Linked DNA regions of Arabidopsis thaliana. The protein of the gene in region 2 interacts with the protein of the main gene of each other region in a pairwise test. Each region holds a gene or a part of one and is shown on either strand. Other genes may lie near its edges.

Region 1 (10,984 bases), on a different chromosome or scaffold from region 2:
CCATCCCAGTAATCATTCACTTTTTCCGACATGCACAATACTTAATTTATACTCACCATTGACTGGATCATACCCGAAAAAGTTTTGGATAATCTTTTTTCTTGATTTCACTTTGGGTAAAGGTATGTACTTACTTGTGCTAGGGTTGCATATAAATTGTTCTCGTCCACATCCAAGACTTATCAAACCATTAACGTAATAAGGAACATTATTGATCCTGCGGCAATACGGACTCGGGATTGAGCATGTCGCACTAAGAGATAAATAATACGGTAGATTCTTGGTTGATGTCGAGGAATACGTGAAGAAGTTACAAATCTGGCGTCCGTTTTGGTTATCTAAATATTTGAATGCAAAGAGTATATGTGGCTGAAGCGAAGACCTAAAGGGAAACGATCTAATGAAATATCGACTGCGGATAATTGTTGCCAATAACTTGGATACAACGAGAAACTTAGCTACGGACTTCACAGGCAATCTCTTCTTGTCTCCGACGTTACTTGACTTACTCGAGACTCCTTCTCTATCTTTGTCCTTTTGCTGCCATGTCTAGTTCTCATTATCACGTTTCAAAGTATAATCCTAATCTTCTTATCTTTATTTGTGTCCTCTCTGCTCTTGTCTTATAATAAGGCAAATATTTTCCTTTTCCAAATAGGAAAAAGGGAAGCAACGAAAATATGGAGGCAAAGTAAATCAATTATTAGTTCATGGACTTAAATTCTAGATAAGGAGTGGAAACTTACTGTACGGTTTGTTTATTGGTTCATCAAATTCAATAACCGGTACTCGGTTTAGTTCAATTTTTTAAACTCGCTCCACCTGAATCTCCCGAATCTCCAGATGATCAAGCTTCTTAGGTCGCTTGTAGTTCTTAAGCAAGAGAGAGCAACACACAACACTAACAGAAGAAGCAGCCATTGCAGCACCTGCAATCCATGGAGGCAACCTGAAACGTGTCCCTGGGAAAAGCACTCCCGCAGCGATCGGTATCCCCATGAGGTTATACCCGAGAGCCCATACGTAGTTGAGACGGATTCTTGAGAACGTTTTCCTTGAAAGATCAATGGCTGTGATCACATCTTCTAAGTTGCTTTTCATCAGAACTATATCCGCTGCTTCTATAGCAATGTCTGTTCCTGCACCTATCGCCATACCTACATCCGCTGCCACGAGAGCCGGTGAGTCATTGATTCCGTCACCTACCATTGCCACAACATGTCCCGCAGCCTGCAATATATATTCATTGCTTTTATCAATTCCATATATGTGAACTTTTTAACATTTAGTGTGGAGCTTTTACTCAAGTACCTGTAATTCCTTGACTTTCTCTGCTTTTTGCTCAGGTTTAGCTTCTGCGATAACAGAGTCGATACCGACTTCTCTAGCAATTGAGTTTGCTGTTCCCCAGTTGTCACCAGTTACCATGATGCTTTTGATATTCATGGATTTTAGAATGGAGATGGCTTCTCGAGCACTCGGTTTTAGAGGATCCGAAACAGACAAAACTCCAATCAGTTCACTGTTTATGGAGACAAGAATTCCGGTCTGGGCCATATCTTCAGAGTCAGCTAGCAACTCTTCAGCATCATCTGGAATAATAACTTTATGATCATTCATCAGATTCTTGTTCCCCACCATAATCTCTCTACCTTTAACGGTGGCTTTCACTCCCTTTCCAGTGATGGACACAAAATCACAGGCTTCTGGCCAGGCAGGGTTCTCTTCGTCGTCTCTGAATTTCTTCGCGTACTCGACAATGGCCTTTGCTAACGGATGCTCACTGTTTACCTGATAAACAAAATAGCATCAACATAGTAATATTACTTTTGATGTAGGCCAGGAGTTTCCAAAAGTTTACCTCAGTTGCAGCAACAAGTTCATAGAACTCTCGAAGTACCATGTTTTTCAGGAGCTTTGTTTTCACAACAACGGGCTTCCCCATCGTGAGAGTTCCTGTCTTGTCAAAGACAATGCAATTTACCTACACCGTCATTGAAACTGTCAGGTTTCACCATTTCAGAAAAGAAATGATCCAGAGAACCTGAGTAAAGTATATACAGTATAGTAAGTTTACAAAGCCATAGACCAAGTTACTGCACACTAAACTAACCTTGTGTGCTCTTTCTAGGGCTTGGCCACCCTTTATCAGCACACCTTGGGATGCACCAACCCCAGTACCAACCATAACAGCAGTTGGAGTAGCCAGCCCAAGAGCACATGGACAAGCTATGACCATGACAGAGATCCCGAACTGAAGAGCTAGCTCAAAGCTATCCATCGAAGAAGGTATCCAGGATTCAGGGTACCAATGCAGTTTCCCAGCTAAGAACCAGGCAAGCCAAGTTGAGAACGAGAGGAAAATTACCTTCAACATTATAATCCAGTGAGTTTAAAAAATAGTTGTGCCTCTAAAAGACTAAATAATTTGTTTATCAACTGGTCAGATTACTCACAAGAGGAACAAAGAACTTGGAAATCCGATCAGCCAACTTCTGTACTGGAGCTTTGGCCAGTTGTGCGGACTCAACAAGTCGAACAATCTGAGCAAGAGCACTCTCTGAACCAACCCTTGTAACCTTAACATGCAGAACACCATTCTCGTTCAAAGTGCCTCCTATAACTGTATCACCCTTTCTCTTTGCCACTGGCCTAGCCTCTCCAGTGATCATACTTTCATTCACATGACTTTGTCCCCATATGACATAACCATCTGAAGCTACTTTAGCACCAGGAACAATTTTGATCACGTCATTCTTCTGTATCAATCGACCATCAATCTCCTCTTCACCAGTCACATTCCCTTCCTTGTCCAAACTCAACAATATCGCAGTGTCGGGTGCCAAGTTCATAAGCTTTGCGATCGCTTGAGATGTTTTTCCTTTAGCCATAACCTCCAAATATTTTCCTAGTATGATAAAGGAAATGAGCATGGCACTAGTCTCAAAGAAATCTACTCCCTTGAAATCAGGAGATGTTGCAGCTCTCAACACTGTGTATAATGAATAGAAATAAGCTGCATTTGTCCCCAGAGCAATCAGAACATCCATATTAGCCGATCCTCGGCGTAAAGCCTTGTAAGAGCCAGTATAAAATCTCCAACCAATGACAAACTGGACAGGAGTAGCCAAAACACACCTTATGATTTCTCCAACGGTGAGCATATTGATGACCTTAAACATGAGCAAATCTTTAATTCCAGGGATATACATAAAGACCATGGCTGTCAAAAACACCGGTACTGTAAAAACCAAACTCCAGAGAAACGACTTATAATACTGCTTAATCTCCCCTTGCTTTTGAGATTCTCTGCCTACCCCTCCCTCTGAGAATATTGTTGCCTTGATGTGACCACTATGACCAAAGACAGTAGACTCAATCACCTGAATGAAATTCCTCGGCCCCGTCACATCAGGTTTGTACAATACAGATATCTTATCAGTTCCATGGCTGATCTCAACACTTTGAACACCAGGAAGTGCTTCAAGCGACCTTTCAATAACCTTCATGGATTCATCAGTAAGCTCACCATCAATCTTCAAATCAATCTTGCTCACATCCTCGCCTGTACTTATAAGCACAGCTTCAAAACCAGCATTTTCTATCTCCTCCAATAGTCTATCATAGCTCGAGAGTCTAGGATCATAATGAATCTCAGCTTCTTCAATTGCTAAAGCCACATGTGCTCTTTGTACACCATTAACCGATTGCAAAACTCTTTCGATTGTTGAAGAACACGAAGTACAAGTCATACCATTAATTCTTATTCTACAAACTTGTCTCGACCTCTCATTCGCTTCATTTTCGATCAACGATGCTTCAAATCCAGCATCCTCAATAGTCTCACGAATTGTCTCCACCTATAAATCCACAATTACACAGAAAAAGAAAACCTAAATCCCAAATCAAGTCTTCTCAGAAACAATTCAACCGAGATTCGAGAGAATATCATAGCTTACATCGACAGAGTTAGGGTAAAACAGAATCTGAGCACGATTATTCAGAGCATCGATGACAGCATCGTGAATTCCAGGGAGACGCTTGATAGCCTTTTCAACAGATCCAGCGCAAGCAGAGCAAGTCATTCCTAACACTTGAAAAACCGCCCTGGAAATCGGATCATCGATCTCAAAAGCCGCCGTCTCCGACGATGATCCTCCGCCGCCGTCGCGAGACCTGGTAAGGTGCTTCCGCACCAGAGGGTAACGCTCGCTGAATCTCTCTTTCCTTATGCATGTAAGCGACAAAAGCTTCGTCGCCATGTAATCGATCGTCTTGTGCGCGAATCTTGTTCTTCTCGTATCGAATTTGAGTTTTTAAAAAGCTTTTAGGTTTATGGGAAATGATGAGACTTTTTGAAATTGTTTTGCTTTTTAAATTGGAACGAAGACGAGGGAAAGCGGTTTACGACATCTAAAATGACAAAAATGTGTGGGCCGATTTGTAAATGTTTAAACTATAGGGCCCTACCAAACAATACTTTACTTTTAAATTTCAACCGCCATATATAAAAAGAGAGAATTTCAACCTCAACAGATTAAATTCCAATTTTCTTTTAAATTATATAATTCAAATTTAATCGTCCAAAGTAACAACACCTTTGACTTTAAGGTTCGCTAAAAAAATGGATTGATTAGTGATGACAAAAAAAAAAGGATTGATTAGTGATATTATTACGACATGATGAAGTAATCTTTTTTTTTTTTTGATAATTAAGAACAGGCCTGATTAAGAATGATTAAGTAATCTTTACTTGTTTTTTTCTGTTTCAATAAAATAATATGACAATATACTAACGAAACTTGGCTAATCCATATCTGTTTTAACTAAAGGTAAAATGGAATCTATTTTACGTGTCTGTCTAATCTTTTATGGCACTCAACCTCGTAAGAAGAAGTCATACCAAAATTGAAGATTGAAAACAGTCAAAGCATTGATAAATGGGCCTATTGACTTGTGTGGCCCATTTAGACTGATACGAGGCTAAATGTGGGCCTTTTATTAAGTTGATCCATGCATTATGATTTATGAACTTCAACTACGTTTCTTCTTCTTCTTGGTCCGCAAACACTTGTCTGAGACTGATATTGATCTCAAATTGATTGCCTTGAAGCTTTTTCCAATGAGACTAATCATGTCAAACAATAGATACAATGCTCTATATAATATAAGATTAAAGGTTAGATCCAAACACACTACATTAACATTCTTCAACCTCTCATAGATTTTCAAATAATAGAGAAAATCTTTCAGAAACTATGTTCATCTCTTCATTTACAAACACTTTGAACCACCCAAAACTCAAAACTAATCAAGAACACAGACACACTCGTCAAGATCAGAGCAAAAAAAAACAATATCAAATGTTGTAATCAGTCGATTGATTTACAGAGTTGAGAGTTTGGTTTTTAGTTAGTTAGCATTGCATCATTCAACACTCGTTTTCTTTCCTTTCATCATTCTCATCACGAGTCAAGCGCCAGCTCGGCCCAAGCCAAAGAAGATGATCTAAGCTCCGCTGAAATAGACAGACTGATTCTGCTCTCCAATGTCTCGCATAGCTCTTGCACTGAGGGCTTGTTGTGATTGTTGTTGTTGTTGGTTGGGTCCCGGTTCAAGCATTGGCTAGCCACTTCGCATACCGTCTCAAGATCTTCTTGGTTAAAATGTTTCAGCTCTGGATCCACCAATCCCGACATTGCCTCTGGTGCTTCAAGGAACTCCTTTGCCTGCAAAATGCAATAGATACGTTTCAAATTCAAAACTTTTGCCACAAAAACCACATTTGAGGTGCGATATAACTAAACATGTGAACAAGGTCAAGACTTCCACATCCAGACGAAAACTCGTCTCTCCCTGAACAGACGACTCCATTCCTACTAGGCTAACAGTAACAAAGTTTTTGATATAAATGGTGAAAAAAGAGGAGGAGGAAGTAACTCAGTTTCAAGTGTTTAGAGAAACTGAGTTGTTTTTGTCTTACCCATTCAATTAAGAATCCTTTGTCTTTGCAATAAGGAGGTCTTCCACTGACAATTTCCAGCAAAAGAATCCCGAATGCATAGATATTACCCGACACATCAAGATATCGGCTCTCCATTCCGTTTGGGAGTACACATATCGAACCCTGGCTACTAATATTTCTCAAATTCTTTTCTGATCTTGCAAGAATTGTCTTCCAGCATTCGAAATCAACCAGCTGCATCAGAGAAAGTCAGAAAAAAGAAAGAATGTGAACATAAAGCTTAGCTTAGCTAATTGTATTACTCAGATAACAAGCAGGTCTCACTTTACTTTACCTTGGGAGTAAAATCTTCTGTGAGATAAATTGCGTTTGAGCTCAGCTCAGAGATTGTAAACGGAGGATCAAGTTCCATATGAAGGTACTTGAGACCACGTGCGATGCCTATAACAATCTTCATCCGTCTTGCCCACGATACTAACGCCGCTTCCCCGTCTGCATCAAAATATTTCACATAAAAATGTTATCTAGCTAAAACAATACAGGATGATGCAACAAAGCTCTGAGGTAAGTTAGACTATTTACAGTGAAGGTGCTCATATAGTGTTCCGTTTGATGCATACTCAAAAACAAGCATTCTTGTAAATGGTGAGATCTCTTTGCAATATCCAAGTAATTTCGCTGTGTTCTCGTGGTTTAATCTAGCCAAATCTGCAACCTGAAACAGTGAGGAGATGGATTTAAAATCTCAGAAAAAAGGAGGATATGTTTAAAGATTGTTCAATCCAAGTGGCTTGGTGATGATGATAACATGAGAGGAAGCTACCTCTCTCTGGAAATAGAGCTCAAGATATCCAGTCCAATCTTCTTCCTTTACACAAAGAGAGATCACCGCAATCTCAGACCCACCTTTCAGCGTTCCTTTATAGATCTGACTATCTGCTGATAAACCAATGATGTTGCTAAAGTCTTCACACGCCACTTCGAGCTCTTGTCTTGTTAATCTCGAAACATCCTTCAGCATTTCAGAATCTGTAGTTAAAATAAAAACATGCCACGTTTTTTTAGTTCTTTGCTCCATGGATTCTACATTGGAAGGTAAAGAATTAGGAAAGATTCTAACCTACGTAGACTGTGAACTTTTCCTTTTCACTTGAAGATTTCTTCCAAGGAATGATGAGAGTTGATCTATTGTTCCAGCGGTGAACTGCAGAGAAAAGTGCAACCAGAAGGAGCAAACCAACCATTGACCCTGTGACTATCTCAAGAGCTAGAAGCCATTTAGGTTTTGATGCTCTATGGTGCTTAGCCACCATTTGAGCTGATTGGTGCTTAGGAGCAGCGCTCGGGCTTCCATGAGTTTTGACCAGTTGTGCATTAGCTGCAACAGGGATAACATTCAGAAAACCAAGACTAATTGAACATGTATGTCGATAAAGTGAAAATTATTCTATCTTACACACCGCATTGGGAAGAAGATCTATGCTTAAGATCCTTGTTTTGCATGCAGTTCCCTTGAAAGCTCGTCCTAGTGACCACAAAAGAGCATTTCTAAGACTAAATTGAAGACTTAGAGAGTTCCAAAAGACAGCATAGATGATAGAATACCTTGGAAGGTTTTCTAAACATTTTGGAATATTTCCCACGAAAAAGTTGTATGAAAAGTCAGCTACTTTTAAAGATTTGCACAAACCAGCGATGTTTGCACTTGAATTTGAAGAATACCTAAATAAATTGAATAAACAAAACCCGATTAACATTGCCATCATAGACAGAAGTCACATAGTGTTTCATTTTTGGCTTCTTGAGCTATTAAACTTACACTTTCGACTGATAGCCCGATGCTCCAGCAACAAGAAGACTTCCTTGAAGCCTATTCCTGTCAATATGAAGTTCTCTAAGGTACTTCAAGTTACCGAGCTCTGCAGGCAACTTTCCAGTCAAACCATTGGACTGAAGGTTGCTGTAAAATGTGAAAAGAAAAACTGTCGTCTCAACAACTCATCTGTTAATAAGATATGAAAGCATCACTTTGACTGCGAAAAAGATGAATCTTTATTACATTATCATGATGCCGGACAAACTCCCGATCTCTGCAGGGATCGGTCCCATAAGATGATTGTTTCCCAAGTCCAAGATTTTGAGATTCTTTAAGTTTCCTATCTCCTTAGGTATTGTCCCTATTAGAATGTTCCCATGTAGGATTCTACAGAAGCATTTTAATGATGTTAATGAGATGCATCAAACTCAATGCATCAAACTACATATTTGTGAAAGAGATGAAACCGTACAGTTCCTGCAGGTACGTTATTTGACCCAATTCCGGCGCAAGAAACCCTTTTATCGATGAAGCGGATATATTTCTGCACGAAAAGAAGATCCACAAGCTATAAGCTCAAGCCAACTTCATCCTAAACCACTCATAAACAACTGATTCTGCAGATACTATACAAGAATAAGTAAACGCAAGAGAAAGAAGAAAAGATGAAAGATTCTTACATCTTGATAACATGATCTTTAGATGGAGAGCAATAAATGCCGGTCCAATCACAAGGATCTGAATTGGGGTCATTCCAATTAGACATAACTAGCAAAGGGTCCTCATAGATAGCTTCCTTGAATCTTCTAAGTGCTTGAACTAACAAAAACAGAGCAGAAGATCCATAAATCTATTAGATGATTTATATGATCAGACCTTGAATTAAAAGCTTTAACTTCACAGATTCTTCTGATCTTATCCATTAAAAAGATAAAACTTTTTCAGGTTGATTAAGATTCTACACTAATCCCAACTCTGTTCAAGTTAAGTTAGAAAGTTGTTCACAGAGAGATTCATGGAGACTGAAGAATCTAAAAAGGTATGAGCTTTATCTAGCATTTTCTTAGTAAACCTAACACAAGCGAGAAAACAATTGAAATCTGAGATCTGGGTTTAAGAAAAGTAACACAAAACAAAGAGATTAACAAATAGTTTTACCTTCATTAGAGGCAAACCCATCACAAGAAACGAAGAAGAGACCAAGAACAAGAGCTAACGAACAAAAATACTTCGATCTCATCGTCTGTTGAAAGATTCCTTCAAATTCGGCTCATTAAAAAAGAAGCGGAACCTAGATTCTTTCACGGATGATCAACAGTATAAGCTCAAGAAGAATCTGGAGAAAGACGACAACTTTCTTTGACAAGTACTCTCTGCAGAAATGAGATGTATAAGCTCAAGAAGAGACCAAGTTTAGTAAAGTAAAGAGCGAGAGAGAGAGAAGCTGAAGAATGGAACAAGGAAATGGTAAAAGAGAAGTGAAACTGGACAAGATTATTTGATTGATTTAGCAATAAACCTATCAAAGAAAACTCACTGAGACGAGAACAAAAAAAAAGTAGCAGAGATGATGAAGTGTGGCGAGAAAGAGAGAGAGAGAGAGACTTGGATTCAAAGACAGGTTTTTGTTTTTCCTTGTTGGAGGGGAAAAATGAGCTTTAATTTTTTTATAGAATAAAAATAGCTATGAAAATATACAATTTAAATAAAAAATATCACAGAAAGGAAGAATGTTCTCATCCTCTTTATCTTTTTATTTCTTTTACTTTGGGCAACTTTATGTGACTCTGAGTTGTTTTTAAATATTCTGAATTATGGATGTTTTTTTTACATGAATGTTTGTTTAGTTTTTAGATCGATTTTCTATTCATTTATATAAGTGAGAAATATATTTATCTATATTAATAATATATATACATCAATCATGTGGCAAAGCTTAACACCAAATTAATAATAAGGAAATATCCAAATCTTTCTATATCAGGAATCTAGGGGCATATGTACAACTGTATTTTTGCATGAGATTTTAATTGTAATATACAGTAAATTAAAAAATGATTTGTTAGTGTTAAAAAAATGATCTGTTGAAAAGATAATCGTTGTATTGTTATTCAAATATATATTATCGCTATTTTACTTTTAAAATAAAATGTAAATTTTATACAAAAAAAATTGTGCATCAAGTGTAATGTTCCAATATCATCGTTATTATGTAAGAGTAAAATTATTTTAGAACCTGATTTTTATTAACTTTATTAATTATAGATACTAATGTGGTATTTGTGTAGTAAGAGCAAAAAAAAAAAATATGAGAGAGGTGAGAAAAAGTAGGAGAGAAGGAGAGTTAAATTTTTCGGAGGAGAAACTTTGAGAAACTATTCTTATCAAATTTGTACAGATGTCATCATATTATTAGTTCAACTATTAAATAATAATTAATATATTTGTTTTGATTAAAATATTAATATATTTTTTTTTGAAAAACTTTCCTTATTTTTACTGATGGAAATAGTGTGCCGTAGATTTTTCTTCACTAATTTAATGTGGATCTAGTTTTTGAAAGAGGTAAATTTTTTAGTAGTGAATTTTTAGATATTCAAAAAATTAATAATAGGACAGACTATTATTCGAACGTAAAATGGAAGAGAACATCTCATTAGAATAATGGTAGAAATGAATAAATTTCGTTGGAAGATTCCTAATTAAGAGTATAATATTGTTGCTAATCATTGAAATAATAGTGCGTTTAATTTATAAAGAGAATTTATTTTTCGTGGTACGGTCACGGTGTCTAGTGTCTACTAGTCCACTACGGTGATCTAGAGCCTTGCTAAGCTGTTGTTACAACATACCGTACTACTGTAGATCACAGCTATGATCATTAAATTGTATTTTAATCAACGGTCAACATATTAACATGCAATACTAATATATAAAATAATTATATTTTGTTAGTAAATTCAATTTCATTGTAATAAAATAGTATCGTGAAGGCTATAAACAAACTTCAAATAATACGTATTTGTCAATTATAATAATAAGCTATTTAAATATAGTATGCTACAAGAATTATTATTTTTAGTGTGAGAGACAAAATGTCCCATGAAAGTTACGCCACCAATCATGCGAGCTTATGCTTGGAGCGCGTGACGAATACTCTCCGTATTTTAGGTTTATTGTTACCACTTGGAAGTTAGAATCAT
Region 2 (10,984 bases):
TTTCTGTCGATTCGATTTTAAAACCGCCCAAGGGAACGATAATCTTTTGCCACTTAAACCCTTCGCTAGGTTATGAACGGTTAATACTTAATATGTCCCAATCGTTGGTTTGATGGGCTTTATATATGTTACTGTTAGTGGGCCGGAATATGGGCCATGCGTAAAACATATTTTCCTTTTATCAAACAAAGAAAAGGTCTAGCTTGGAAGATTAAAGATCAATCAAGTAACAGCTATAGAAGAAACATTCATTGATAATCTCACTAATTTAATTAGTCACGTCTCTTGCTTCTCGTTTCCATCAAGAACGCCCTTGTGATCTCCACACATAGATGTTGGTTTTTCTGAGAGAAAGGTTCGTACTTATCCGAGAAAACGACGTCGTCCATGTTCCGCACCACGAACCCTACACAAGCCTCCTTCAGCGTCTTGCTCGAACCAAGATCCGAGACATCAAGAACGTTAAGAACACTAGAGATGTCCAAGGAACTTAACATATATTGCTCGCACAACTCTTGCAAGTAATGAATCATGTACTTATCTGCTGCAATAAACAACGCGTAGACATTTTTCTCCAACTTATCTGAAGCCAATGTACCGGTGTATAGAAACTCCAAGAGAGCTTGAAGTTGCTCGGAATTTAGTTCTTGGAGCGTTATGGCGTATTCTGGAGCGGTTTTGCATCCATCTGAGTCTAGAATGTTCTTAAAGATCTCAGATTTTGAAGCCTACATATATATAAGCACCCAACTCGTTTTTAGAAAACAAAATTTAATGGTTGCGTCATGTTAAAATATTTTACTTTATTTTTTTTTCTATTTAATTTGTACTTTTGAAATTGTTTACATAAACATCAAACGCCATTGAATTTTTATTTAAACCCTATAAATTATTGTATTTTTAAAATGTCAACATCCTATTATAAAACTAACCATGCCATAAAATTAAATTTTAAAAGAGAGTAGCTAGCGATCATTGAATTACCAGCAAAGCTCTATGTGCAGGAATTGGAGGGCCATCATCGCCCGGTTTTAGAAGAATATCAGCATGAAGCTGTTCTTTGAAACCCGACACAAAGCTGCTTAAGAAGACTATTCTTTTCTTCTGTTCTTCTTCGGTTTCTTTCATGTTTTTCATCCATTTGATCACCTTCTCTAATGGTTGCGGCTGAAATTCTCGCACAAATATATAGTTAAAAATCATTAAGCCAATAAATTAATGTGTTTTGATTTCTAAAAAATAATTGAAATGTTTTATAAATTAAAGACTACTTAGTGCAAATACACATAAGAAGCTTACCTCACAAGAAAACAAAGGAGACGAAGAAATAGAGGAGCCATTATTGATGGTGGAATTATGGTTCGATTTGTCATGACGATCTTCTTTCGAGCCCTCAAGTTTCTTGAGCAGCGCAATTGTTGTTCTAGCCCCTTCGTAGCATGATCCACATATTGTGTTTCTTGGTGGTCTTAATATAGATGGCATTGTGGTGCAGATTGAGCAATCCATTTAATGTTCTTGGTTTGTAGTTTCCTCTTCTCTACCTCGCAATTTTTGGAGTAAACTTGAGAATATGAAGAAGATCAATAGAGGAAGATGATGGAGGAGCAGTTTCTTGCTTCGAACGCAAGTTGGTAAAGTATGGTTCAAGAATTGGTTAGAGATGGCTACGTTCTTGAAACATTTTTAAATATATTTTTCGTTAATAATCAACTCGGTACATGATTGTTTCCGTAAAGAGTTGTTGAGCATAATTTAACAAATAAAACAACGTAGATGAAATGATTAAGACATGAAGGAATCTTTTAGGGGCAGTTGTATAGTTGGAACTTGGAACCTTCATGGGATGTTATATACTTAATTAATTTAATGAAACAAATCCAATATATTTATTAATTTGTTTATTATATGCTTGACTGGATATATGTATATGCTTCGCATGTATATGATCGATGCTAACCGTACATAATTTAGTAAAGTTAACTCATGAAGAATGATTTAGAGAGTAGATAAGAATACAGAGATTTGAGATACGATAGATAGCTTCAAAAGCTAAAAGACGTAAAAAGTTGGTAAAGAAGAAAAGGACTTTCCAACCTTTCAACAGCAAATATGTGTAGTGTAAGCACGTCGCTCCTATAGCTTCAACATTAATTGACTTAATTTTTGGGAAAAATATTAATTAATAACTCATTAATTTTGTAAGAATGTGCAATCCAAATCTTAGCACGAATTGTTTTCTGAATGGATTAGCTAGATTAGTGTATACTAATCACACCCATATAGTAATTCAGGTAAGATGATAACTCAAATTTGAATCCACATGAATATTATGTACTATTAGGGCCACATATATAACAAAATAAGTTATTAGTCTATTTGGTTTTGGGCTTATATAAATACCAAGGGGAGTTCAAACTTCAAATCCCATCCTAATGTCCAACTTCTTACAAAAATATGTAAATAGACCAGAAAAACTTTTGCTTGGGGCTTCCAAGTTCTTCAGGCCGGCTCATCTTACAATTTTCTCTTGAAAATGGTTCATTCTGTTTTTGCCTATTTTCAGACAGATGTCTGAATGGATTGAGTTTTATAATAAGTCAAAGTTAAGACTCTCGCAGTATTTAATTAACTAGTAAAACACTTAAAACTTCTTATAAAAGAAAGTCGGACCAACATGGGTCCAACATCTTGTTATCAATAGTTGAAAAAGGTATACATACATAAAGATATTAGGTATTTAGAGGAAGCATTTCTTACAACAACACACAAAAGCAAAAGATAAAGAAGCATTGTAAAGGTAGATTAGCCTTCCTTTTCATCGTTAGTATACTTAAACTTGTGATGGCTTAGTCTCGGCTTCTGCGGCTTTTGGTTCAACATCAGCTTTTGCATCAACCTTAGCCTCAGTCTTAGTCTCAGCCTCGGTTTTAGTCTCAGTCACGGTTTCGACCTTAGGATCAGCCTCGGCTTTTGGCTCAGCTTCAGCCTCCACTGGCCAGTAAGAAGTCTTCTTTCCGGTCTTTGAAACTGTTTGGAAAACTGCTTCAGGCTCAACATTACCTTTCACTGTCACCTTTTGCTCCTTGATATCAATGTCAAATGACTCAACCCCTGAGATTATATAATAAATTATAGAGTCAATAAATTATAAGGCTTAAAATAAAGGGAAACAATGATTAGTAGAAAGTATTTGAAAGACATGAAAAAAAGATTAGAGAGAAATACCTTCCATTTTGCCTAAAACTCTATTGACGGCACCAACGCAGCCTTGGCATGACATACCAACTTTGAGGACAACGGTCTGCATTAATTAGACAATTTAATCCGAAAATGTAAGAACCATATCCATATACATAGGACCAATTCGGTCCAAATATATCAACAGCTAATTTTATCACAATTATTAACTGTTATCTTTTGTGCTCTAGCTTAATAATATTTACCTTTTTTGATGAATATTTCAAAGTGGTGCTAATCGGACATTATAGTACTTACAGATAGAACCTAGACCTAGACCAATCAATCTCTTTTCTTCCCTCTTGAAATTTGATATTAATTCATTCCAAAATATTTATTATCATAAAAACTGATTAATCGGACTCTCATAACCGATATATATAGACAATTGCTAGCATCTTTTTTGGAGATGGACACAAAAAGACATTCCTGCTTCCAGATCAATGTCTCTCAAAAACATTATTCCATCGTTTCATGGCCAAGAAATGGAGAAAAAAAGAAGAAGAATATCAAAGTCACAAAATTACCTGAGCCATGGCTAGAATAAGAAGAAAGGAAACGATTAAGCTTTGAGCCTTTGAGATCGATGGACCGAATCAGAGAATGAGATGCTTGTTTGTTGAATGAGAAGAAATGGTGTCTTCTGAATATTTATAGTAACGCAAAAGCAAAGATTCGGAGAAGTTAGCGTAAAGGAAACGAGAACATTATGAATTAGTGCATTTACCATATTTCCAATAATAAAGTATAAAGGTTTAGGAAGGTTAGTTATACCTGATGTGGAAAAAAGCTTACCAACTTTAAAATCCACTAACAGAAAGTACAAGTACAAAGAATTCTATGAGGTCTCCTTGTACTACACATGTTTTGTTGCAGTACCAATTACCTAATTTTTATATATATGGGGTCAATCAAAGTTTACTTTTATTAGATAGTAGTATTTGACTATGAACTTAGAGAAAACTATTTTTATCCTAATATTTTATTTTCAAGCTTTCTAAAGAATATCATGAACAATAAAACACAAATATTATATGTCAATCTATAAAAATATCATATTATACATGTGGAGTTTGAATGGTAAGCCGAACTAACTCATTTTATCTTTAGGTGACTAGGTAGTGGGGTGTATTGATACATAAATAATGTTGTCCTTTTCACGGATTGTTTTGCCAAAAACTAAATTTTTTGAATGATGGACAAAAGTTTCACAATTTGCGGTTTTACATTGTTATCATTCAAAATTGCGAATATCTTATCTATCACTATTCATATTGAATTTTATAATTCTAAACAGTAAGTAGCTGAATTTTCAGAATCGGTCATGAGACCAATATATTCTTTGATATTTTGTTGTTTAAAAAGTGGCTAAAAATCGATGTGTACCGTTTTTTGGAATCCTACTCGAGTGAGCATAGGAATGAGAGACTCAAGTATAATATGGTTTCTTATATGGATTCCCAAACTTTTTTTTGTAGTTAACATTATCAATATTTCCATTGTGGCTTTCCTATGCGACGTCCATCAAAGAAACACATCAGCATATATCTATCAATAATGCGTGTAGTTTTGAAATATGGCACTCATTCTCTGTCCCTCTCACCGAACCTATTCGAGGAACTCGTGTAATGACGATCGCAATTTACGTGTTTCAACACAACTCTAAAGATCTCATCACATAACTCGAAATGCAAGAATCTTTATATTCCAATCGTTATTGAAATTACGTATATATCATACAATGCTGAATCATACTTTGTCTACTTGGTGGTTACAAAGATTTCAGCCTCACATCACAATCACCTAAAGTTGCAATTCCTTTATTAATTGGTCAACAACTCGCAAGTCTTTGATACATAATGCTCTAATACTTTGCTCCCACTTCTAAAAAACAGTTCCCCTCTATACAATATATTTAATATTATCCTTACAAAAAGAAAAGCAATAATTTTGTTGATCCCCTACACCTCATCAAGTTCTAAAAAGGTAGTAGAATAGATTATGATATGGGCCCAGTGCTGTCAAAACAAAATCATGGGCCCAGTTGATAAAATAAAAAATATGGGCCCAACGATACTTTCCCAATTTGGGCTTCTCTTAAATCCTCAATTATTATCGTCTCAAGCTCTCTCGAGCCTTCTTCAGAACTCTTCTTCTTTTCGTGCTTTTCACATTCCCGCCAACAGAGAGTAGAAATCTTCTCCCACAAAACCTCAGATGAATCATCCCAAGATTCCGACGCCGGGTAAACAAATGGAAGCTCCTCGCTCCGTCGGAGGAAGAATACAGAGGAAACCGCTCGCGGATTGTACTAACACCGTCTCCAGATCTTCTCAACAGTCATCTTCTTCTGTAAAATTCGCGAATCCGAGTCTCACTTCTTCACTAAAGAGATTAGTAGAACAAACTACGCTCAAGGAGAAACCCAAAGATGTTAATACTTCGGCGACTGCTCCCGAAATCGCTTCTCGGCCTATTACCACGGACGTTAGACCCGTAACTCGCCGTATGTCTGCTGATCTGGCTTCTCCGGCCTCAGCTCCTTCTCGTCCCCAAACATCGCGATCTGATATGGGTAATTGATTTAGCTGCGATGATTTTGTTCCAGTTTTGTTATACTGTATCAAATTTTAAGGAATTTCATCTGAATTGAAATTGTTCGCAACTCTAGGGTTTTAGTTTTCGGGTTTTGGGTATTTTTAGGAATTATTGGAAGAAGGTTTAGATTGATGCTTGAATTTATCATGTTTTCTGTTATAGTGGAAGAGCACTAATTGGGTCACTTCAAATTTCCAAAACGGCACCAATATTGAGTGGATTGAAAATTGCTATCAAGCTAGTTCTCAGTCTCTGTTGATTTTCAATTGGTATTTTTGCAAAATTGGTTTCTGTGTCTATCTTATACTGATGTTAAATAATTGTCTTATGCTTAGGTGTTAGTGACAAGGATTTTACTGAGCCTTGGTCTGTTTACACGGTAAGAAGGAAGGCCTCTGGACAAAAAAGAAGTAAAGACGCATCTTCCTCTACTAGTGCAGCAGCTCGCATTCGTCTCGACTTGTCATCAAGCTCTGGGTATGAAACCCATTCGATCATATATTTGCTATGGGAAAATTGATTTGGCATGGCTAATAGTAGCTAATGTACATATGGAATCAGGATAGAATGTAGTTCATGCTGACTAATTTATTGATGCCTGTTCTTTTGAAAGAATCTTGTCAGTAAGAAATAGTAGATGAGATAACTTTTGTTAGTGTTACAGTTAACTTTCATCAAATTTGTTTAGCATTTTGTGGGCTGTTTATAATCAACCATGTTGTTGTTAGTTAATTTTCTTTGAAATTTGTATCACAGGAAGAAAACACGTCAAGCTAGTGAAAACAAAAAGAAGACCTTGAAAGTGGCTCCAAAAAAGGTGAATTCAGGAAAGCTCTGGCTGTTTACTTATCAGAACTGTAATAATTCTATGTTGTTATCATCTTTCTGCGAAAAAGTAGTCAATACTTTGATCTATTGGTTTTATGGCTCTAGCAAAGTGTATATCAGTGCATTGTATGTTTCAACATTGATTGTTCACAACGTTCTTCTGCCACATGTCTGAAACCAGTGCTACACATAGTTTGAAGTGAATTGCCTAGTCCTTCAGTTTCATGTATATTCTTCTTTTTTTCAAAAGTTGGATTTAGAATATTGTCACGAGATACAGTGGGATTACTGTTTAATGAGATATGCAATTTGGAACTCCCATTGTTCAGTTATAGAGCCTTATGACTATTGGTAACATATAAGTTTGCTCCAAATCTAATTCTGCATTTGTGGTTACATTACAGAGACAGCGGACGGTAAAGCAAGAGAAAGAGGATCCGGTTAGTGCAGCTTGTCAGGATTATATCGAGAAGCAGAAAGCTTACTTTGCAGAGATTGATGCATTTGAGCTGCCAGTAGAAGAGGTATCTAATAGCGACTCAGACTAAGTAAGAAGAGATAACAATCTTAAGGATATCATAGAGACACCATAACCCGTTCGTAATCACTGTATAGCTAAGGAGTATTCTCACAGGAAATGTTTCACTGGTCACTTAGTACACATGACACGTCAAATCTGTGTATACAAAATATCTATCGGTTTATAATATTTAACATCGTTTCAGTGGGAGAACGTTCTTGGTTCTACTTAGACATGAATTGACGAAAAAGCCTGTCCACAATACACAGGTAAGGCCACGACTGAGAGACAAACTATATACTTACATTCACACACCAATAACTATAACACTCTCTGTTCAATGAGGCGAAGCAGCTCATAGAAAAAACCAAGCTTTATTCACATAATCAAGCTTTATTCATGTCGCTGATGATTAGAGCTTTACCTGTGGTCTCATGTCTCTTCATACCCTCCATTGACCCAGAGAACAGAGCTCTTGTCACACTCCCCATTGAAGAACTACAGCCAAGTCTTCCCCCGTTGGAGCAACACAGAGTCGAGGTTGGTGAAGACCTAAGCTCATCCTCTTCGTAGTTAGCGTACAGAAGTGGCGATTTTTTGTCGTGACTCATACGTTTTTTCAAAGAATGTGGTGGCGAGGAGGAAAAGGAAGATGAAGATGACGTAGAAGACCAAGAAAACGATGAGCTTGCCGTCTTCTTGCTACCGTGATTGCTCCTCCTGAGATCACTGAACATGGAGAAGGACAGAAACTTACTTAGTTTTGATCTCACCTTGCTTTGCGTCCTTGGTGTCGACAAAATCCCGGAGGAGTAGTATGAGGGCGGCGGTGTGAGAGGCAGAGGAAGAGAGGAATCGGAGCAGAGGTGGTTTTTGGGTGTTCCTGGCCTTGACTCCCATATGAATGGTATGGAGGCTCCGCCATAGTAGGAGGATCTCTCTTCATCGATTGCAAAGTCATCTTCTAGTCTTTCTGACATCTGTTTTTTATAAACTCTCGGTTTATGTTTGAGTCGGCTTTTGATGAGAATTGATGTACGAAAATTGAAACAACAAGTGCTAGTTTCGAAGCTTCTTTAGAGGTGACAAAGAGTAATATGTATTGCGAGTAAAACAAGTTTGCCGATGAAACAAAAGAATCTTCTTTGCACGGTTGTATATAATCGTGGATATTTATTCTGCTTTTTTATTTTCTTTAGGAAAAATTCATATGGATGAGCATATTACAAGTATATGGAAGATCATACATAGGGGAAAAAATTGGTTAGATAATAAATGAAAGGTGGCTATCTTACTGTATGCATTACTTAATGCGTTTTCATTAATAATAAGAGAGTCGTGAGGTGAGGATCACATTATTGGTAAACAGTTACTGTAGTAAGCATTGCTTAGAGTATTTAATATGTTACCTTTTGTGGGATTCCACTCTATAAACCTTTTTATTTGGTGTTCTTATAATTAAGGAAATAATTATTGACCAACAAATCCACACGTTTTAATATATATCAAGACTACTAACCTTGTTTGTCGTAATTTGAAACTACTGACCAAAAGTTTGGGGCATGTTCATCCAAAAGATATAATGGTTTACATTTAATGAAATGATAATTTAGATAGGATATAATAGGGAACTACTCAGAGTGTCAGACCAAACCATCTGAATACGTACCAATGTCAAGTGCTAACTGGTAACTCCCAACAATAGTAATTAGAAAAGATATATATATTTGTCGGTTCTAATTAGTTGGAAGAAACGTATGCGGAGAAATAAATAGAAACGTGAGAGATCGAAAGACGACGGTGATGAATTTGGACGGTTGAGTGAGGGAGGTCGTATAATTTAATGGTCGTTTCCAATCGTATTCGTACGTGGTCCGTTTTCTCCTACTCGGATTTTGCTTTAATGTGATGGCCACACAAATTGGTTAGAAAACTATAAGGGAAAGCTCCACCTATTTATTTCACTCATACATTTACTATACACTAATATCGCACGGGAAAATTATAACAATTTTCGGATATTCGTATTTGAACAGAAACAAACAACACATACGTAAGAATTTCCTTCACAAAAAAGCCCAATATAGACGAACTTGAACTTCGTACCAACGGCCCAATATCGCTTCCTTAATCAACGGCCCAAAATTTTCATTTATTAATTAATCAGATAACCAATCAATAGAAGCCACGTCGCCACAGCCATTAGTAGTAGCATCATCAAAGCCTGCATTCTTGTTCTTCGAGTCTCTCTCGTGAGTGACTTTCATTACCGAGAAAAACACAATCATAGAGAAGCTCTCAATCTTGTTTGCTTCTGATCAGTAACTATGATTACTGTAAATAGATCACTCTTTCATTATCTTTCCCTTTCACTTGTACAAACCAATTCGTTCTCGAGCTAACGGAAATGGCGGAGAGGCAACAGAGCCCTGCGGCGGAGACGATTCCCGGTACACCCGTAATCCGGGAAGTGAGAACCGGAACCGGGTCCGAGAATTTCAACCCGGAGAATACAAGGAGAGGATGCTTGAGAGCTGAAATCGACATTTCTCCACAGTTATATGGTGGTCGTGGGTTCTGGGTTCCCTTCAATCTTGAAGACAATTACGTGAGTTCTCTTCTAGTTTCCGATTTACAAAGTCTGTTCATTTAAAGTTTGAGCATTAATGTCACTGAAAGTTTGAAATGTATGTTCTCTAACTGTTAAGTATGCTAACAAACTGAATAACTGATAGCTGATTCGATTTGGTTACTGAGTAGATATTTTGTAATAAGTGATAGCTAATTTGATGTTTGCATTTGCGGCAATTGATTCTGGAACTAGCAAGATGTTATGTAAGATTTTTTTTTGGTATTATATAGCATGATTTGTTTTATGTTTTTTTGGTTTGTCATTCTTCAGGACTGTGTGGGAGAATTTGACATAAAGAGAATGGAAGAACAGACAGTGGAGCTTGAGAAGGATCTGATTATGAAAGAGTTAGAGACTCTGGATCTTCTTGAAGCTCTTGGATCAACCAAAAGGATTTTTGAAGATTTGAAGTGGCAGCTTCAGCAGCAAGCACTGAGATGCAAGGAGACCCCTCAACATTTGCGTTCACACTCCAAAGAGATGGTCGATGAGCACTGCCATCGTAATCCCCTGAAGTCTCCGGATCTGATGACCATGGAAATGAAGCAAGCTGGTATGAATCTTTGTAAAACCATGGATGATCTTGCGTTGATCCACTCTTATGCTGAATCTCTGAATATGAAAACGAAGGAAGAGAAAGATGTCCTTGGAGTAGCGTCTCTAGCGGAGGAACTTAACAGTTTGAAGTTTAAACCAGCAGGTCCTGATCAAGTAGAGAGATTCAATACCGAGAATTTACCAGTGAATCCACAATGTGAACAGATTAAGATGGTAGTTGAAACCTATGATACAGCTTTCCATAAACAGAGCAAAACCTGCCCGAGAACTGCAGATATGAGATTGGTTGCTGCAAGAAAAATGGAAGAGGCAGCAAGAGCAGCGGAAGCACTTGCGCTTGCTGAAATGACCATATTATCCAGCAGAAGAAACCAAGACGCTCTCTGCTTCCCTAAGACACCATGTTTTCCATTAACACTTAAAGCACAGATGAACAAAGAATTATCCACCAATGTCTCAAGAATAGAGATCTTGAGGAAGCTGGAGGAAGCTAACGAAGAAGTTAAACAAAGTAAACAAGCCTTGGAAGTTGCGTTAAACCGGGTAGAAATCGCTAGTGTGAAGCAACTTGAAGCAGAAGAGGCATTTCGGCAGTGGAACATAGAGTC

What was found. Proteins that work in one complex are often made in the same cells at the same time.
Region 1: the proteins of CCH (region 2) and HMA5 interact in a two-hybrid assay, tested with the Arabidopsis thaliana proteins (one study listed by BioGRID).

What each region holds. Positions count from the first base shown.
Region 1 is NC_003070.9:23,520,933-23,531,916, reverse strand, and holds HMA5 (heavy metal atpase 5), read right to left. Parts: upstream 4,348-10,984; 5' UTR 4,263-4,347; coding exon 3,960-4,262; intron 3,861-3,959; coding exon 2,457-3,860; intron 2,369-2,456; coding exon 2,114-2,368; intron 1,985-2,113; coding exon 1,862-1,984; intron 1,792-1,861; coding exon 1,312-1,791; intron 1,231-1,311; coding exon 808-1,230; 3' UTR 691-807; downstream 1-690. Other genes in the region: AT1G63430 (Leucine-rich repeat protein kinase family protein), read right to left, coding at 5,466-5,801, 5,984-6,199, 6,300-6,457, 6,548-6,680, 6,789-6,994, 7,086-7,343, 7,426-7,490, 7,571-7,687 and 5 more. UniProt on the Arabidopsis thaliana protein: Involved in copper import into the cell. May play a role in copper detoxification in roots.
Region 2 is NC_003074.8:20,860,627-20,871,610, forward strand, and holds CCH (copper chaperone), read right to left. Parts: upstream 3,997-10,984; 5' UTR 3,777-3,996; coding exon 3,768-3,776; exon of another isoform or gene 3,447-3,767; intron 3,305-3,446; coding exon 3,229-3,304; intron 3,115-3,228; coding exon 2,834-3,114; 3' UTR 2,513-2,833; downstream 1-2,512. Other genes in the region: AT3G56230 (BTB/POZ domain-containing protein), read right to left, coding at 273-728, 985-1,167, 1,300-1,509; AT3G56250 (uncharacterized protein), read left to right, coding at 5,458-5,815, 6,174-6,315, 6,595-6,655, 7,071-7,190, 7,456-7,530; AT3G56260 (uncharacterized protein), read right to left, coding at 7,573-8,166; AT3G56270 (WEB family protein (DUF827)), read left to right, coding at 9,594-9,794, 10,089-10,984. UniProt on the Arabidopsis thaliana protein: Involved in copper homeostasis. Can complement the yeast mutants atx1 and sod1.